Sus scrofa: one gene and its partners. The main gene of each other region encodes a partner of the protein of the gene in region 3 in a complex. Links are inferred from orthologs where the notes say so. Each region holds a gene or a part of one and is shown on either strand. Other genes may lie near its edges.

Region 1 (4,859 bases), on a different chromosome or scaffold from region 3:
CAACTGTCGGCATTCCCACAGTGGCTCAGTGGTGGCGTACCCGACTAGGATCCATGAGGTTGAGGGTTCCATCCCTGGCCTCCCTCGGTGGGTTAAGGATCCGACATTGCCGTGAGCTGTGGTGTAGGCTGCAGACACGGCTTGGATCCCAAGTGGCTTTAGCTGTGGCGTAGGCCGGTGGTTACAGCTCCAATTTGACCCCTAGCCTGGGAACTGCCATATGCCACAGGTGTGGCCTTAAAATAAAATAAAATAAAATAAATGTCACAATTAGGTTGATGTGGTCTAGACGGCGAGATAAAGTTCTCATGTAATGATCAGCAAACATTAAGCACTGTCAAATTTCCATCCTAATTTTAGCCCCATAACCATTATCTTCATTTCAACATTACCTTTGTTTTAATAATCCTTCAACATGAAGCTGTAAATCAAAGAGCACCAGCCTTAAAGGTACTTAGAGAACAACTAACAGGGAACTGAGCAGCCAAGCAGGGCTATCTCCACACTGGGGAGTCTTCACTGGTGGCCCTCCGTGTGCCACTAGCACACAGTGGGAATATGACCCTGGACCTGGGAGGCCCAGTTCAGTCCAGAGGAATTAGTAAGCGACAGGCTTTTTTTTTTTTTTAAGGAGGAACATTCAGAAAATCTTTCATGCTGAAAGTTAGTCACTTTAGAAGTTTTCAAACCCAACCTCTTCATTCTGTTGTTCAGACTATTTTGCTTCTTTTTAGAGAAGATTTACAGTCAAAGCAAAGTTAAATGCACTGAATTTATCTTCTGTATTTATTCCAACCTATTATCTTTACAAAATCAGTAAGGAATATTAGAAGTTTCACTTTTTTGGGGGGAGGGGGTCTTTTTGCCTTTTCTAGGGCTGCTTCCTGCGGCATATGGAGGCATATCAGAACACACCCACCCCCAAATTTCCCTGGCAACTGATGAACCAACCTGATGTCAATTCCCCCTTAAAGTGGTAGCCTCCTTCTCCCCCAGGTAGGGAAGCTGCTGCCAAGTTCAGCCGACCACGGTGGGGTGTTGCTCCAGGACCTTTTGCTTCTGTTCCCAGGCTAGGGGTCGAATGGGAGCTGTAGCTGCCAGCCTACACCAGAGCCACAGCAACTCGGGATCCCAGCCTCGTCTGCAGCCTACACCACAGTTCACGGCAACACCGGATCCTCAACCCACTGAGCAAGGCCAGGGATCGAACCCGCAACCTCATGGTTTCTAGTCGGATTCATTAACCACTGCGCCACGATGGGAACTCCAGAAGTTTCACATTATTACAATCATGAAATAAAATATAACAGCAGCTTCTAAAAAACTGTTAGTCTGGGTTTTCCAATAGAGATCAGCACACACCCCCCCCCAATTTCCCCCAAAACCTTCCAGTGTGTTCATGGCAAATGTCTCAGCTCCAACACCTCTCCTCACCCCCACCCCACCCCCATACAGCAGGATTTAGGAACTTCTGGGGGGGCTGGCTATTTACACCACAGTATTTAAAATAAGGCATCTTAGTGTACAAACACATTCCCCTCCCACCATCCCTGTGATGTGCTGAGAAATATGCACAGCCCCGATTTACACCTAAATCAAAAAACTATTTCGAATTAGATGGAGAGACTAGAAGAATCCTTTCCAGTTCAAAAATCCCAAGATTCTAGCCATTAACCCTAATAACGTCTCATGACACCTTCTGCTCAGATGTTTCAAATTGCTTGACATTTTGAGACTAAATGTTCTACAGTTTTAATTTCAAAGGAATGCTGCCATATTCATTACACAGTGCTCTATATACCTGGATAATGAGACCGAATTTTATGAGAGACTGAATCACAGTGTCTTGTTCATTATAATCTAAAACAGACTTTTTTAAACAGTCTGTACACTCTTGTTCTGAAGCTTTTCTGGTTATTATTAATACTTTCTCGGTTACTACCTTGTTAATACAATCGCAAAAGAAAAAACCTTAAGGATACAGAGCAGCTCAGTCTCCTGATCTAGCACTCAAAAACGGTGCCCCCTCCCAAAAAAAAGCTGGCCCATCGCGCAGGGGCGTTAAGATGAGATTCAGCGGAAAAATGCAGCAGGATCTACTGAGCGCACATTTCCTGATAAAAAGCAGGAGTTCCTTTCTGCATTACTGACCGAAGGCCTGTCAAGAACTAGGTTAAAACGCAAACTGAGCACCTGCGCGAACATCACACATTTCGCGACTTTCCGCCCAGGCTTCTGCACTCGAGCTTCTGAGCGGAATGCGGGCAAGGCTTCCTCCGCAAACGGAGGTGCCCGCTGAACACTTTCGGGGCCCGAGCTGCGCGGCCGGCGACCTTACCTGCCAACTCGGAGCGCACGCAGCCTGCGCCGCAGCCGAGGCGGAGAAACTTTTAAAAGTCCGGGTTCTGCTCCGCCAGGCGCCCCTCCCCTCCATCCACTCCGGGTCAGATCCGTCCACACCGCCGGCCCGGCGCACAAAGTGCACTTTCCGGTCCCACCCGAGGCCTGCGGGCGTGTCACGCCGGGACCCCTGCCCTCCGCCCGCCCCCGAGGCGCCCGAGTCCCGCCCGCGAGCGCCAACCGGGTCGGACCCCGCGGCCGGGGCCGGGCGGGCGGCGAGCGCGGGGGAGGCCGCGGGCCGCCGGGGTGGGGGAGGGGTGGGGGTCGGAGGTGAGGTGGGGGCGGGGTGGGGCCGCCCCGCCCGCGGGGGCCCGAGGTGGGGGGCGACCCGCCCGCCGGGGGCCGAGGAGGGGCCCGCAGGGCCAGCGGCCCCGCCCGCCCGTCCCGAGCGCGCGTCCCAGTCGGAGTCCGGACCCCGCCGGGCCGAGCCCGGGGGCCGCCCCGACGCCTGCCCGCCCGCCCGCCGGCTCACCTCGGCGCCGTCTACGCGGTGCGCGGCCGCCTGGCCCGCAGCTCCGGGGCGTCGCGCGGGGACGCCGGGCCCGGGGGCGCCGGGCGGGCGGGCGGCCCCATCTTCCGGCGCTCGCGCCGCGGCCCTGCGCGCACCGAGCGGGACATTCGCTACATTGTTGGCATTCCTCGGCCGTCACGTGACCGCCGCGTCACCGCCGCCCGCCCCGCCCCGCCCCGCCCGCCCGGCCGCCGGGGGAGACCGCGCGGGCCGACGGCCGCACCTGCCCCGCCCTGCGGCCGCCGCGTGAAAGGCCAGGGCGGCTGCCTTCTGGGCGGACAAGCTCCGGGCCGGGCTGGAGGGAAACTGCCTGAGGTCACGACCCCGCTCCCCGCGCCGACCGCTCGGCTGCCGTCGTGCAGCGGGGACGCCAGGTGTCGTCGGCGCACCTGCGCCCGCTGCACCTCGACGCGCAGCTCGCGCCTCCCCTGCACCCACCCCACCCCCGCTCACCTGCGGACCCGCTCTCGCCCCAGGAGGAGCCGCCCGCGCCTCCCCAGGGCCCAGCCGGGCGCTCACCTGCGGCCCCAGGCTCAGGCCCGACCACGCCCCCTCCGCCTGGCCCCCGCCTGGGGGCTGGCGGCCCTCCTGCCCTCGTGTGCGGTTAAAGGTCCTGCCCTGGCTCTGCCTTCAGCGATATAAACAGCATTCAATAAAAGAAAGACAAGGGACAGGGAAGGCATGTAATGGACTTTAAAATTTTTGTGTAAAACACCGAATCAAATTGTGAGTTTGTAATAGTGAAAACTCAGGAAGAACCTAAAAGTCCCAACAACAGGGAATGGGGGAAAGTAAAATATGTAAAATACCTCAGTGAACGAACTAGCTGAACTCTTCAAAGGATAAATGATTGTAGATAGAACTTCCACATGCCCCAGGAGAGGCCCAAATTAAAAAAAAAAAAAAAAAAAGGAAACACCGTATCTGGAGTTTCCTTACAGGAGGTTGTGTTGTCACTGCTGTGGTGCCGGTTTCATCCCTGGCCCTGGAACTTCTGCAAAAGAAGAAACATCTTTAGGGTAGGCCCCTTTGTGGCTCAGCAGTAACTAAACCGACTAGAATCCGTGAGGATGCAGGTACAATCCCTGGCCTCGCTCAATGGGTTAAGGATCTTGGGTTGCCTTGAGCTGTGGTGTAGATCACAGGGAGGCTTGGATTGGGCATCGCTGTGGCTGTGGTGTAGGCTGGCAGCTGCAGCTCCCATTCAACTCCTAGCCTGGAAACCTCCATATGCCATAGCTGCAGCCCTAAAAAGACCAAAAAAAAAAAAAAAAAAAAAAAAAAAGAGAGAGAGAGAGAAACATCTTTAAAAATGTTTCATATGGAGTTCCCATCGTCTATCAGCAGTAGTGAACCTGACTAGCGTTCATGAGGACCAGTTTGATCCCTGGCCTCACTCAGTGGGTTAAGGATCTGGCATTGCTGTGAGCTGTGGTGTAGGCCTGAAGCTTCAGCTCCAATTTGACCCCTAGCCTAGGAACCTCCATATGCCACAGGTGCGAAAGATGAGTTCCCGTCATGGTGCAGTGGTTAACAAATCTGACTAGGAACCATGAGGTGGCAGGTTCAATCCTTGGCCTTGCTCATTGGGTTAAGGATCTGGTGTTGCCGTGAGCTGTGGTATAGGTTGAAGATGAACCTCGGATCCTGCGTTGCTGTGGCTCTGGCTAGGCCGGTGGCTACGGCTCTGATAAGACCCCAGCCTTGGAATCTCCATGTGCCTCCGGTGCGGCCCAAGAAAAAACAAAAAGACAAAAATAAGTAAATAAATAAATAAAAAGAAAGAAAGAAAGAAACACAGTGACAAAACAGAGTACAGGATCTAATCTGGTGAAACAATATAAGTATATGTATTTTTATTTATGCTATATACCTAAAAGTATACGATATATATTATATATTACATATTATATAAAACACACACATATAAAACATACCTGTATGTGTT
Region 2 (4,604 bases), on a different chromosome or scaffold from region 3:
ATAATGGTCCTATTTAATAGGGTAATTTAAAGCATTAAATAAGTTTAGAATACATGCCTAACTAAATAAATGTTAGTTATTATCTTATTATATCTTTTTCCACTATCTTACCCAGATTCTCCCTGTATAACATATATTCTAACCAAGCCAAATTACTTGCTTTCTGCTAATGTGCCTTGTGCTTCTCTACCTTCATGTTCTTACTCTTCTTAGGAGACCCTCTGCCATATTCCTTCTTGTAGAAATTATACCCAGCATTTATGGTGCCATTCAAATGCTTCCTTCATGAAGCTTTCATTGAAGTGCCAGCTGCTATCCTCCTCTGAACTTCAAATGCACTTTACACAGGCAAATAAAACTTGTTTTTGCCCTATTCTTGTACTTGTCTTATTTTTCCCACTAAGCACAGACTGACAAAGCAGAGGTATCTTGGATATTGGATGTGTGTGTGTGTGTGTGTGTGTGTATTTTATTTTAAATTATAATTTGAATTGATCCAGAGTAAATGGATCCAGAGAGGTAAAGTGGCCCCATTAAAATCATACAGCCAGCTGGAGGTCATGCTAGGAATGGACTCCACATATCCTGAAACAGCCCAAGGCTCTTTTTTCCATGTCATTTTTTTTGGTCTTTTTGCCATTTCTTGGGCTGCTTCTGCAGCATATGGAGGTTCCCAAGCTAGGGGTCCAATCGGAGCTGTAGCCACTGACCTACACCAGAGCCACAGCAACTCATGATCAGAGCCGCGTCTGCAATCTACACCACAGCTCATGGCAACACGGATCCTTAACCCACTGAACAAGGCCAGGGATCAAACCCGAAACCTCATGGTTCCTAGTCGGATTCATTAACCACTGAGCCACAACAGGAACTCCCCAAGGCTCTTTTTTATCATACCTACATCTTAGTTTTCCTAAGGGATCATGACTCACATTCTTTGAAGGGATAACTTGGTTAGACTGAACAGACAAAACCTCCATTTCTTAGAAAGTTCGGACCTTCATCAGATGTACAAATGTCAATAAGTACAAACAAATACTGCTGATATCTTACCCAACTTAGGAAAAGAACAGAGCCCATTACATAAGAAGATTTCAAATTGATACCTTAGGTTGAACTAGGCTTGTAAAAAAGATGGTATCTTAAAGCTTTGACTAAATCAGTTATGAGAAAAGCAACAGTACTGTCTTAGCAGTATAGTCTTAGCTGTCCATATGGTAATATGTAAGAATCTCTGCATTCTGATGACATTTTCTCCAATTCACTTTCTAAGAGTTAACCTATCAAAAGTGAGAACAATCATTATATTTTATCATCATTTGAAAAATGACTGCCATTTCTACTTGATAAAAATGTTGTTCAATGACTAAATAACTTTCATAGTCTACAAAAATCCACCACTAATCTAAATATCACATCTAGAGCAAAAACTAAATAACCAGAGCTGGAACTGTTCTAAGGCTACACTATGTAGAGTAACAAGGAGGAGCATTAAAAACAAAAACAAAAACTCAACCTAAAGAAAGAAATCCACATGTGCCATATCATGCCAAATATATCTAGCAGAAATATTTTTATTTGCTTTTGAAGGCTGTCACCATATTTATTAAATACTCAGGCACAGGAAAAAATGCGCCTTTTCTAGCCTGTATCATGATCTAGTTTCTTGCAGTAACAGCCGATCAGAGGAACACAATGCTACTTCTTTCACTGTTAAATCAAATTCCTCCACTGCCTTAGGGAATCAACTAGCTCATTTTACCCGTGTGTCAACTAATTAAAGGAAAAAAATAAACGTAGTTAAATCACGAACATAGATACCTTAGCAGAGCACATTCATTACAATTATAATATCCGACTTTTTCTTCTATATGGTGGAAATCTGACAAAAAATTCTTAGTCCTCAATAACAATCCATAAGACCTGACACCCTTCATGGTTCAAGTCCATTTCCAAAATTGGAGTGATACAATACTGTGTGCGAGATTATAGTTCTCACTAGATTTATGAATTAACTTCTAGATAACGATGTAATATTTTGAGTCGTATTAACATATGGGTCAACAGACATTAATTTTTGTTCCCTTAGAAAAGAACTTTAAACTGAAGAAGAAAATAGCTTCCAACTGGAAAGAATGGGGTTAAATCACTTCACCTGAGAGTCATTCTTTGTGGCACAAAGTCTTTTTGAAGTTACAATAAACAATGTCCCCTGAACTTCCTTTCCTTCATTTTCTGAATTTACAGACATACTCCCTCCATCTCTCCTATCCCTTCCAACTATGAACAGCAACCTATTTACAGTGGACTGTAAATAGAAATTCTCAGAATTTCTTCAAGGTATATCCAGGAGCAGGTCCTTCTGGAATGAAAGAACTGTGGCTCCTTCACTGCACATTTCCTTCACAATCACCTTTCGCTATCCGTTCCTTCCTGAACACCGCTGACCGGTGAGGGTTGGAGACAAGGGTGGAGGGAGGTGTGAGCGAAAACAGTCCGCGCAAGGCCTCCAGTGAGACAGGATCTTCCCGGGCTAACCTGAACCTCCAAGGCCGCAAAGCCTGGGGCTCTTCCTCCAGCCCCGGGCGCGGCCAACCCTCGCTTCCCCAGGGCAGGGCTCCGCTCAGGTCCATGCAACCAGCCAAATCGGGCCCGTACCGGGCCGGCCCGGCCCGCCCGTCCGCAGCGGCCCCTGGACTCCCGCCAGCGGGGATGGGCGTGGGCCCCGACGGCCACCGCCCCGCCAACGCGGGCTCCGGAGGAGAGAGTGAGCCCCACCCGCTACGCCAGCCCCGGACCTACCTGCAGAGAGCGGGGCTCCTGGACAGCGGCCACGGGCCCGAGGGCGGGCGTCGAGGCGGCCGGAGCCCGTCCCAGGGACCCCAAGTGTCCCCGGTGGGGCAGGGCGGGCAGAGACGCCGGGGGGCTGCCGCGGGCCAGCGCGGCCCGTCGCGGAGGTCGCGGGGACCTGGCTCTCCCCTCAGCACCAGGCCGCCGCCGCCGCCGCCATTTTGCCTTCCACTCGGTGTCGCCGCCGCCGCACTCCGCTGCAGGTTTCCCGGATGTGGGCATTTCCCGGCGTCGCTTGCGCGGGGGCCGAGGACTGGGGGCTTCTGCCCGCCCGGCCGTGGGGAGCGGGCGCGCCGCCGCCGGCCTCCCGCCCTCCGCGGCCGCCCGTCCCCCTGCGTGTGCCCGCGCGTCGCCCCGCGTCGCCCCCGCTTTGCGCTGCGCAGGTGACTCGCCACGGCTGATGGCGTTCGGCTCTCCGCCTCCCAAGCCCACTCATTTAGTTCAGTGTCTTTCTCAATTGAGCGCTTTCTGTGGAAGGACGAATGTAGAATAAAAGGTGCGCCTCTGCAAGAGTTTAATTTCCAAAAGGTAACAGCCGTGAGTTGCTCTCTGAAACCTCGCGGTGGACCTCGGGATTCGGAATTTCTAGAGGCTTTGAAATAAACTGATGTTTGCTTAGCACTCTTTCCCCGAGTACATCCGTGAGTTTGTTTTCTGAATCAGTCAGATTAATATATTCGCGAACACGAACAGACTAGGGGTTCAGAGATTTCTGTCAACTGAATAATCTGTCAACTGAATCGGTATAAAAGGAAGTCATTATTACCATAACTGGAATAATTTTGACTGCAGCGAAAGAGGCTTTATCTTGTTAGATGGAATTGGAAGTTTGGGATGGGATCGTTGGGTTTATGATGTTTGAAGATCCCCTCCACTCTCTGCCCATGGCCTTTGCCAATTTTGCCTCTAGAAAATATATGCAGTTAGTACTTTCAAATATCTCCTTTCATCACATTTATGCTGGAGACTAGCTATTATTCGTTTAAACCAAAGCCTCTTTTTTTTCTGATGTTGAGTTAGTGGCTGGCTACTATTTCCAGAAGTTCAAATATGAAAACTTATGATGAAAGAAAAGATTACATTCCAAGAGCATTTGGTTGAAAGTCTCTTCCACAGGTAGAGTTTGTAAAAGGTATGATCTAAAGGGAGTCATTTAAGGGAGTTCCTTTTGTGGCTCAGCGGTAAGGAACCTGACTAGGATCCAAGAGGATGAGGGTTCAATCTGTGGCCTCGCTTAAGGATTGGGAGTTGCCATGAGCTGTGGTGTAGGTCGCAGACTTGTTGGATCCCTAGTTGCTGTGGCTGTGCTGTAGACCAATTGCTGCAGCTTGGATTCCACCCCTAGCCTGGGAACTTCCATATGCTGTGGGTGTAGCCCTAAAAAAGACAAAGGAAACCAAAAACAACAACCAAACAACAAAAACAAAGGGAGTCACTTAATAGCCCTGGGTCTTTCTTCAGCTGGAGAACTAAGTGACCAGCAGGGTATCTTTCAGCCTCAAAACTATATACATTTTATGAATCTAGTATGTCCACAGGCCTGCTTGCTCTTTCCAGGATTATGTATCTGGAAGAGCATGCTGCCCCCCGAAACTTTGTCACCTCTGTCACCAGCCCACAGAATTTTCTCATTTAAGCTCCTCAAAGACGTTTGGTTAACATTTGCTGAATGAATGAACAAATAAATGTTAGAACCACAGACAAGCTCAAAACCTAAAGGCAGGTATTTTCAAAAACCTAGGTCTTTGGAAAAA
Region 3 (4,589 bases):
TGGCTGGTGCTTCACAGGCACTGTGGTGGCCTATGGGGAAGAGTAATTTATGCTCTTAATAGAGTTATAGCATCAGTGTCTGCTGAGGGCTCCAGAACTGTAGTTCAGGGTCTTGGGGCTGTAACCAGGAGGAGCAATTCAGAAGCCACCACCAGGGAAGGAGAGCAGAGTAGAGGTAATACGAGCAGTCTCTGGGTGGAACAGACCTGGGTTTGAGTTCCAGCTTTGCCTCTCAGCAGTTAGATGCTAGCCAGCAAGTAGCTCCGTCATGCTGAGCTTTTTCTTCACCTGTAGAGTGGGGGTGGGGGTGATAATGATAGTTAATACCTGTGCAACGCTTAACCTTCAACCACTCAGCTAGGCAACCACTAAGAATTAACTTAAAATTTGGATTAAAAGAGAAACAGAAACACACACACACACACACACACACACACGAGTTCCAGTTGTGGCTCAGCAACTAGTATCCAAAGAGGACTCGGATTCAATCCCTGGCCTCCCTCAGTGGTTTAAGGATCCCGCATTGCCCTGAGCTGTGATGTAGGTCGCAGATGCGGCTCAGATCTGGCATTGCTGTGGCTGTGGTGTAGACTGGAAGCTGCAGCTCCAGTTGGACCTCTATCCCAGGCGCTTCCATATGCCCCAGGTGTGGCCCTAAAGAACCACAACAAAAACACAGAAAGTTATACTCCCCTACCTCTCTCTCACACACATTCACTGTAACCCTTGAGGAAGTTTAAACAAAAATCATGTATATGATCTGAAACTGGAAATCACACAGAACACAACATAAAAACTGCTTTCATTTTTCTAGTTTTTTAAATCTACAGAAAGAATAATTTCATAAGATTCAACGTAGTATGACCAGTCACTTATCTAAAGCTTTATATGGATGATCTCGCTTAAATTCCTCAACAACTCCATGAGACAGATGCAATTATTACCCCCTCCCGCGGTAACAACTAGAATTTCTCCTCAACAGAAGCTGAAGGACTTGGCGGAAACTGCCCGCTACCAAGCGGCCTCAAGTGATTTGAAAGTTTAAGAAAAACCAAGTCAGTACATGTAATACATGCAATTAAGTGCTAAACAGGATTGGCCGCTCGGCGTTCGAAACGCAGTCTCCTGGGGCGCCACACTCGGCGCAGACCTGGTCCGAAGGGCAGTCCCTTGCTGAACTGAGGAGTGACTCATCTCCCGCGCCCCGGGAGCAGCCTCTTCTTGTTTTCCTGGGAAAGGCGCGCCGGGCTCCCCGCGTCAACCAGTCTTGCTAGAGTAGGCGTACCCCTACGAACAAAAGCGTTCGGAGTGACGCTGCCTTAGCCACTCAACGTCGAGGGTAATCCCGCGCCTCCAATTAGATCTGAACTTCCAATTGGTAAAGTCCTACTGAAGAAGGTGGGACAGCGGGAGAAAGTCCCGCCTCCCTCAGAGTTCTCAGCCAATCGTGGTGTCTAGGCTGCAGCCGCCGAGTTAGGTTGCGTTGCGTGTAGCGCTCTGAAGGGCCTGAGGGCGGGGCAGGGAGCAGGCCGGGGGATGCGGGGAGGGGACGCTTCCCGCGGGTGCGCGGAGCTAGGACGGTGACAGCCACGCGCGCACGTGCGCGCCTGGCTGGAGAGCGGCCCCTGAGACCTCTGTTGGCCGCTGAGAGGCGCGCAGGGTCTGGGCAGCCGCCGTCTAGGGCCCCCGTCCCTGGGCGTCCCCAACGTCCCCAGCCCGAGTCCCGGCGAGAGCCGGGCGGTGCCCGCCTTGTCTGTCCCTGATCGCGATCTCTCCCCGCGGCCATCAGGGCCCGCCCCCCAACTCCCCTTTCCGTTCCCAGGGCACGGTCCTCGCGGCCCATGCTGGCCGCTGGGGGCCCGCGCCGCTCAGACAGCTCCCGGGCCGGCCGGCCGGCCACCATGGTGGCCCTGAGGCCTGTGCGGCTTCTCCAGGGAGGCTAAAAGGTCCAGAGTGCAGGCCCCGGGGCCCCAGGTTCCCGGGCCTGAGCCCCACGCCATGGCCGGGGCCATCGCTTCCCGAATGAGCTTCAGCTCTCTCAAGAGGAAGCAGCCCAAGACGTTCACCGTGCGGATCGTCACTATGGACGCGGAGATGGAGTTCAATTGCGAGGTAACCGGCCGGCAGCCCCTACGGGCTGCAGCGAAGGGAGGCCTGGCGGGATCGGGCCCTGGTGCGGATCTGGCACCGACCTGGGCGCCCTTGCCGCGGTGACAGTTGAGGTGGAAGCTTCGGGATTCTGTTTATATCATCTCTGGGCAAAGACTGAGAGGGTCAGAACCGGAAGGAGCCATCTAGGCCCAAATCGTCATGTTAAAGATAATCGCTGCTTTTTTCAATGGGACTTTTGGGTTTGGAAGTGCTTCCTGAAGGTTTTCATTCATTGTTATTCCAAGAGTCTGAAAACATCCGTGGTAGCGAAATTTAATTTTCAGTGTCAGGCTTTAACTTCAGCTTTATAGAGTTTTTAACTTTATTCGATTATATTATGTACCCCAGCTATTAAAAGTTGCATCTCATTTTATTGCACAGTCTACAGTAGTTGTTTCCCTTTTTCACAGCTTAAATTTTCTGGAAAAAACTCTTCGAGGAAAAAGATGATATCCTAAACTTTCCCTACAGTTTGTATCACAATGATAAGTTATCCTTTATTGAATACGTCCTAAGTGTCAGACATTCATACACTTACCTCTCAAAACAACTCATTTAGGTGGGTACCCCAAACCATATATCCAGTAAATGGTGAAGGAGCGTTTTGATTCGAGCCAATACAGTACTGCTCTCAAGTAATTTTATGTCCTTGCTACTCAGAGTGTGGCCTGGGGACAAGCAGAATTGGCAACAGCAACATAAGTCAGTGGTTGGCAATTTTTTTTCTGTAACGGGCCCATAATAAATTTTTTCAGCTTTTCAAGCCTTAGGGTCCGAGTTGCAACTGCTCAACTCTTCAGTTCTACCTCTGTAGAACAAAAATGGCCTTAGGCAGGATCCCTTCCAGCCTGACAGGGTGAGGAACTCCAGTGACATGGTGCTCTGTAAACTGGTAAAATTTATTTTTAAAAAACAATTTAGGAGTTCCTGTCGTGGCTCAGTGGAAACAAGTATCCATGAGGACACAGGTTCGATCCCTGGCCTCAATCAGTGGGTAAGGATCTGGCATTGCTATGAGCTGTGGTGTAGGTCACAGACACAGCTCGGATCCCGCGTTGCTGTGGCTGTGGTGTAGGCCAGTGGCTACAGCTCTGATTCGACCCCTAGCCTGGGAACTTCCATATGCCACAGTATGGCCCTAAAAAGACAAAACAAAAACAAAAACCAATTTAGAGAGTTCTCTGGTGGCACAGCAGGTTAAGGATCCAACGTTGTCACTGCTGTGGCTCTATGGCTTGGGTCACTGCTGTGGCGTGGGTTCAGTCCCTGGCCCTGGAACTTCTACATGCCGTAGGTGTGGCCAAAAAAATTTTTTTTTTGTAAACCCTCTGGAAGTTGTTCTAAGAGCAGACATCAAGTGAAGAAGCATCTACTCAAGAAAATCTATGAAGGGGGGTCCCATCATGGTGCAGTTGTTAACGAACCCTACTGGTATCTGTGAGGACGGGGGTTCAATTCCTGGCCTTGCTCATCGGGTTAAGGTTTCACTGAGCTGTGGGTATAGGTCAGAGACGCAGCTTGGATCCTGCATTGCTGTGGCTGTGGCATAGGCCAGCAGCTGTAGCTCTGATTGAACCCCTAGCCTGGGAACCTCCATATGCCGTGGGTGCGGCCCTTTAAGACCAAAAAAGAAAAAAGAAAAAGAAAGAAAGAAAATCTATGAAAATTCGGTAAAGGAGTTCCATTGTGTTTCAGCAGTTATGAACCTGACTAGTATCCATGAGGATGCAGGTTTGATCCCCGGCTTCGCTCAGTAGGTTAAGAATCTGGCGTTACCCTGTGCTACAGTATAGGTCACAGACATGGCTCCGATGCTGCATTGCTGTGGCTGTGGTATAGGCCAGCAGCTACAGCTCTGATTTGACCCCTGGCCTGGGACCTTCCATATGCTGCAGGTGTGGCCTTAAATAGAAAAAAAAAAAAAAAAAAAATCTGTAAGAAAGGCAGGAGTTTGTGGTGTTTGAACCAGGACCATACCACCCTCCCTGCTCCCAGCTCTACAAGGTAGAGATTCTGCTCTCAACCCCGCAGCCCAGTACACAGGGCTTCCTCTCCCCCTACCCCCTAGGCAGACAGCCTTCTTCCCAGAAGTGCATAGTTTAGGGCTTCTGCCCAAGGCTACTTGTTGCTGAGGCTAAATCCTGGGTGAGTGAAGCTGAATCATGGAGCTTCCTTCTTCCACCCAGCTCTTACTTATGGAATGTGGGCTGTATTACAGGTGTGGCTCTCCGGGAATACTGGAGTCCCAATGACCCTCAGTTTGTGAGATGGTGGTTCCAGCCAGGAGAAGCAAACTGAGAAGGCCTCAGGCTACTGTGTCTTCCCTTACCCCCTTCTATCAGGGGCTCAGAGATTTTGCCTGGAGGGAGAAGCAGGTTTTAAAACCCTTAGCTCCTTACAGAAAGTAGTGACTTTTTGTTTGCAAATAGAGTGTGGAG

Evidence for each region.
Region 1: the proteins of NF2 (region 3) and LATS2 are in contact, whole or in part, in a crystal structure (PDB 4ZRI), measured with the Homo sapiens proteins. The link is inferred for Sus scrofa from reciprocal best matches to the Homo sapiens genes NF2 and LATS2. Residues at the interface, in NP_000259.1 of Homo sapiens: Pro135, Glu136, Ala137, Val139, Leu140, Tyr144, Asn175, Leu176, Tyr177, Gln178, Met179, Trp184, Arg187, Trp191, Glu206, Lys209, Ile210; in NP_055387.2 of Homo sapiens: Tyr73, Ala76, Leu77, Glu79, Ile80, Arg81, Ser83, Leu84, Leu85, Phe87, Ala88, Asn89.
Region 2: the proteins of NF2 (region 3) and LATS1 are in contact, whole or in part, in a crystal structure (PDB 7LWH), measured with the Homo sapiens proteins. The link is inferred for Sus scrofa from reciprocal best matches to the Homo sapiens genes NF2 and LATS1. Residues at the interface, in NP_000259.1 of Homo sapiens: Pro135, Glu136, Ala137, Val139, Leu140, Tyr144, Asn175, Leu176, Tyr177, Gln178, Met179, Met183, Trp184, Arg187, Trp191, Glu206, Ile210, Asp213, Leu214, Glu215; in NP_004681.1 of Homo sapiens: Pro69, Lys70, Phe71, Gly72, His74, Ala77, Leu78, Glu80, Ile81, Arg82, Ser84, Leu85, Phe88, Ala89, Asn90.

What each region holds. Positions count from the first base shown.
Region 1 is NC_010453.5:1,262,934-1,267,792, forward strand, and holds the start of LATS2 (serine/threonine-protein kinase LATS2), read right to left. Parts: upstream 3,038-4,859; 5' UTR 2,873-3,037; intron 2,598-2,872; exon of another isoform or gene 2,339-2,597; intron 1-2,338. UniProt on the Homo sapiens protein: Negative regulator of YAP1 in the Hippo signaling pathway that plays a pivotal role in organ size control and tumor suppression by restricting proliferation and promoting apoptosis.
Region 2 is NC_010443.5:16,273,388-16,277,991, reverse strand, and holds the start of LATS1 (serine/threonine-protein kinase LATS1), read right to left. Parts: upstream 3,038-4,604; 5' UTR 2,803-3,037; intron 1-2,802. UniProt on the Homo sapiens protein: Negative regulator of YAP1 in the Hippo signaling pathway that plays a pivotal role in organ size control and tumor suppression by restricting proliferation and promoting apoptosis.
Region 3 is NC_010456.5:46,652,370-46,656,958, forward strand, and holds the start of NF2 (merlin), read left to right. Parts: upstream 1-1,499; 5' UTR 1,500-1,998; coding exon 1,999-2,112; intron 2,113-4,589. UniProt on the Homo sapiens protein: Probable regulator of the Hippo/SWH (Sav/Wts/Hpo) signaling pathway, a signaling pathway that plays a pivotal role in tumor suppression by restricting proliferation and promoting apoptosis.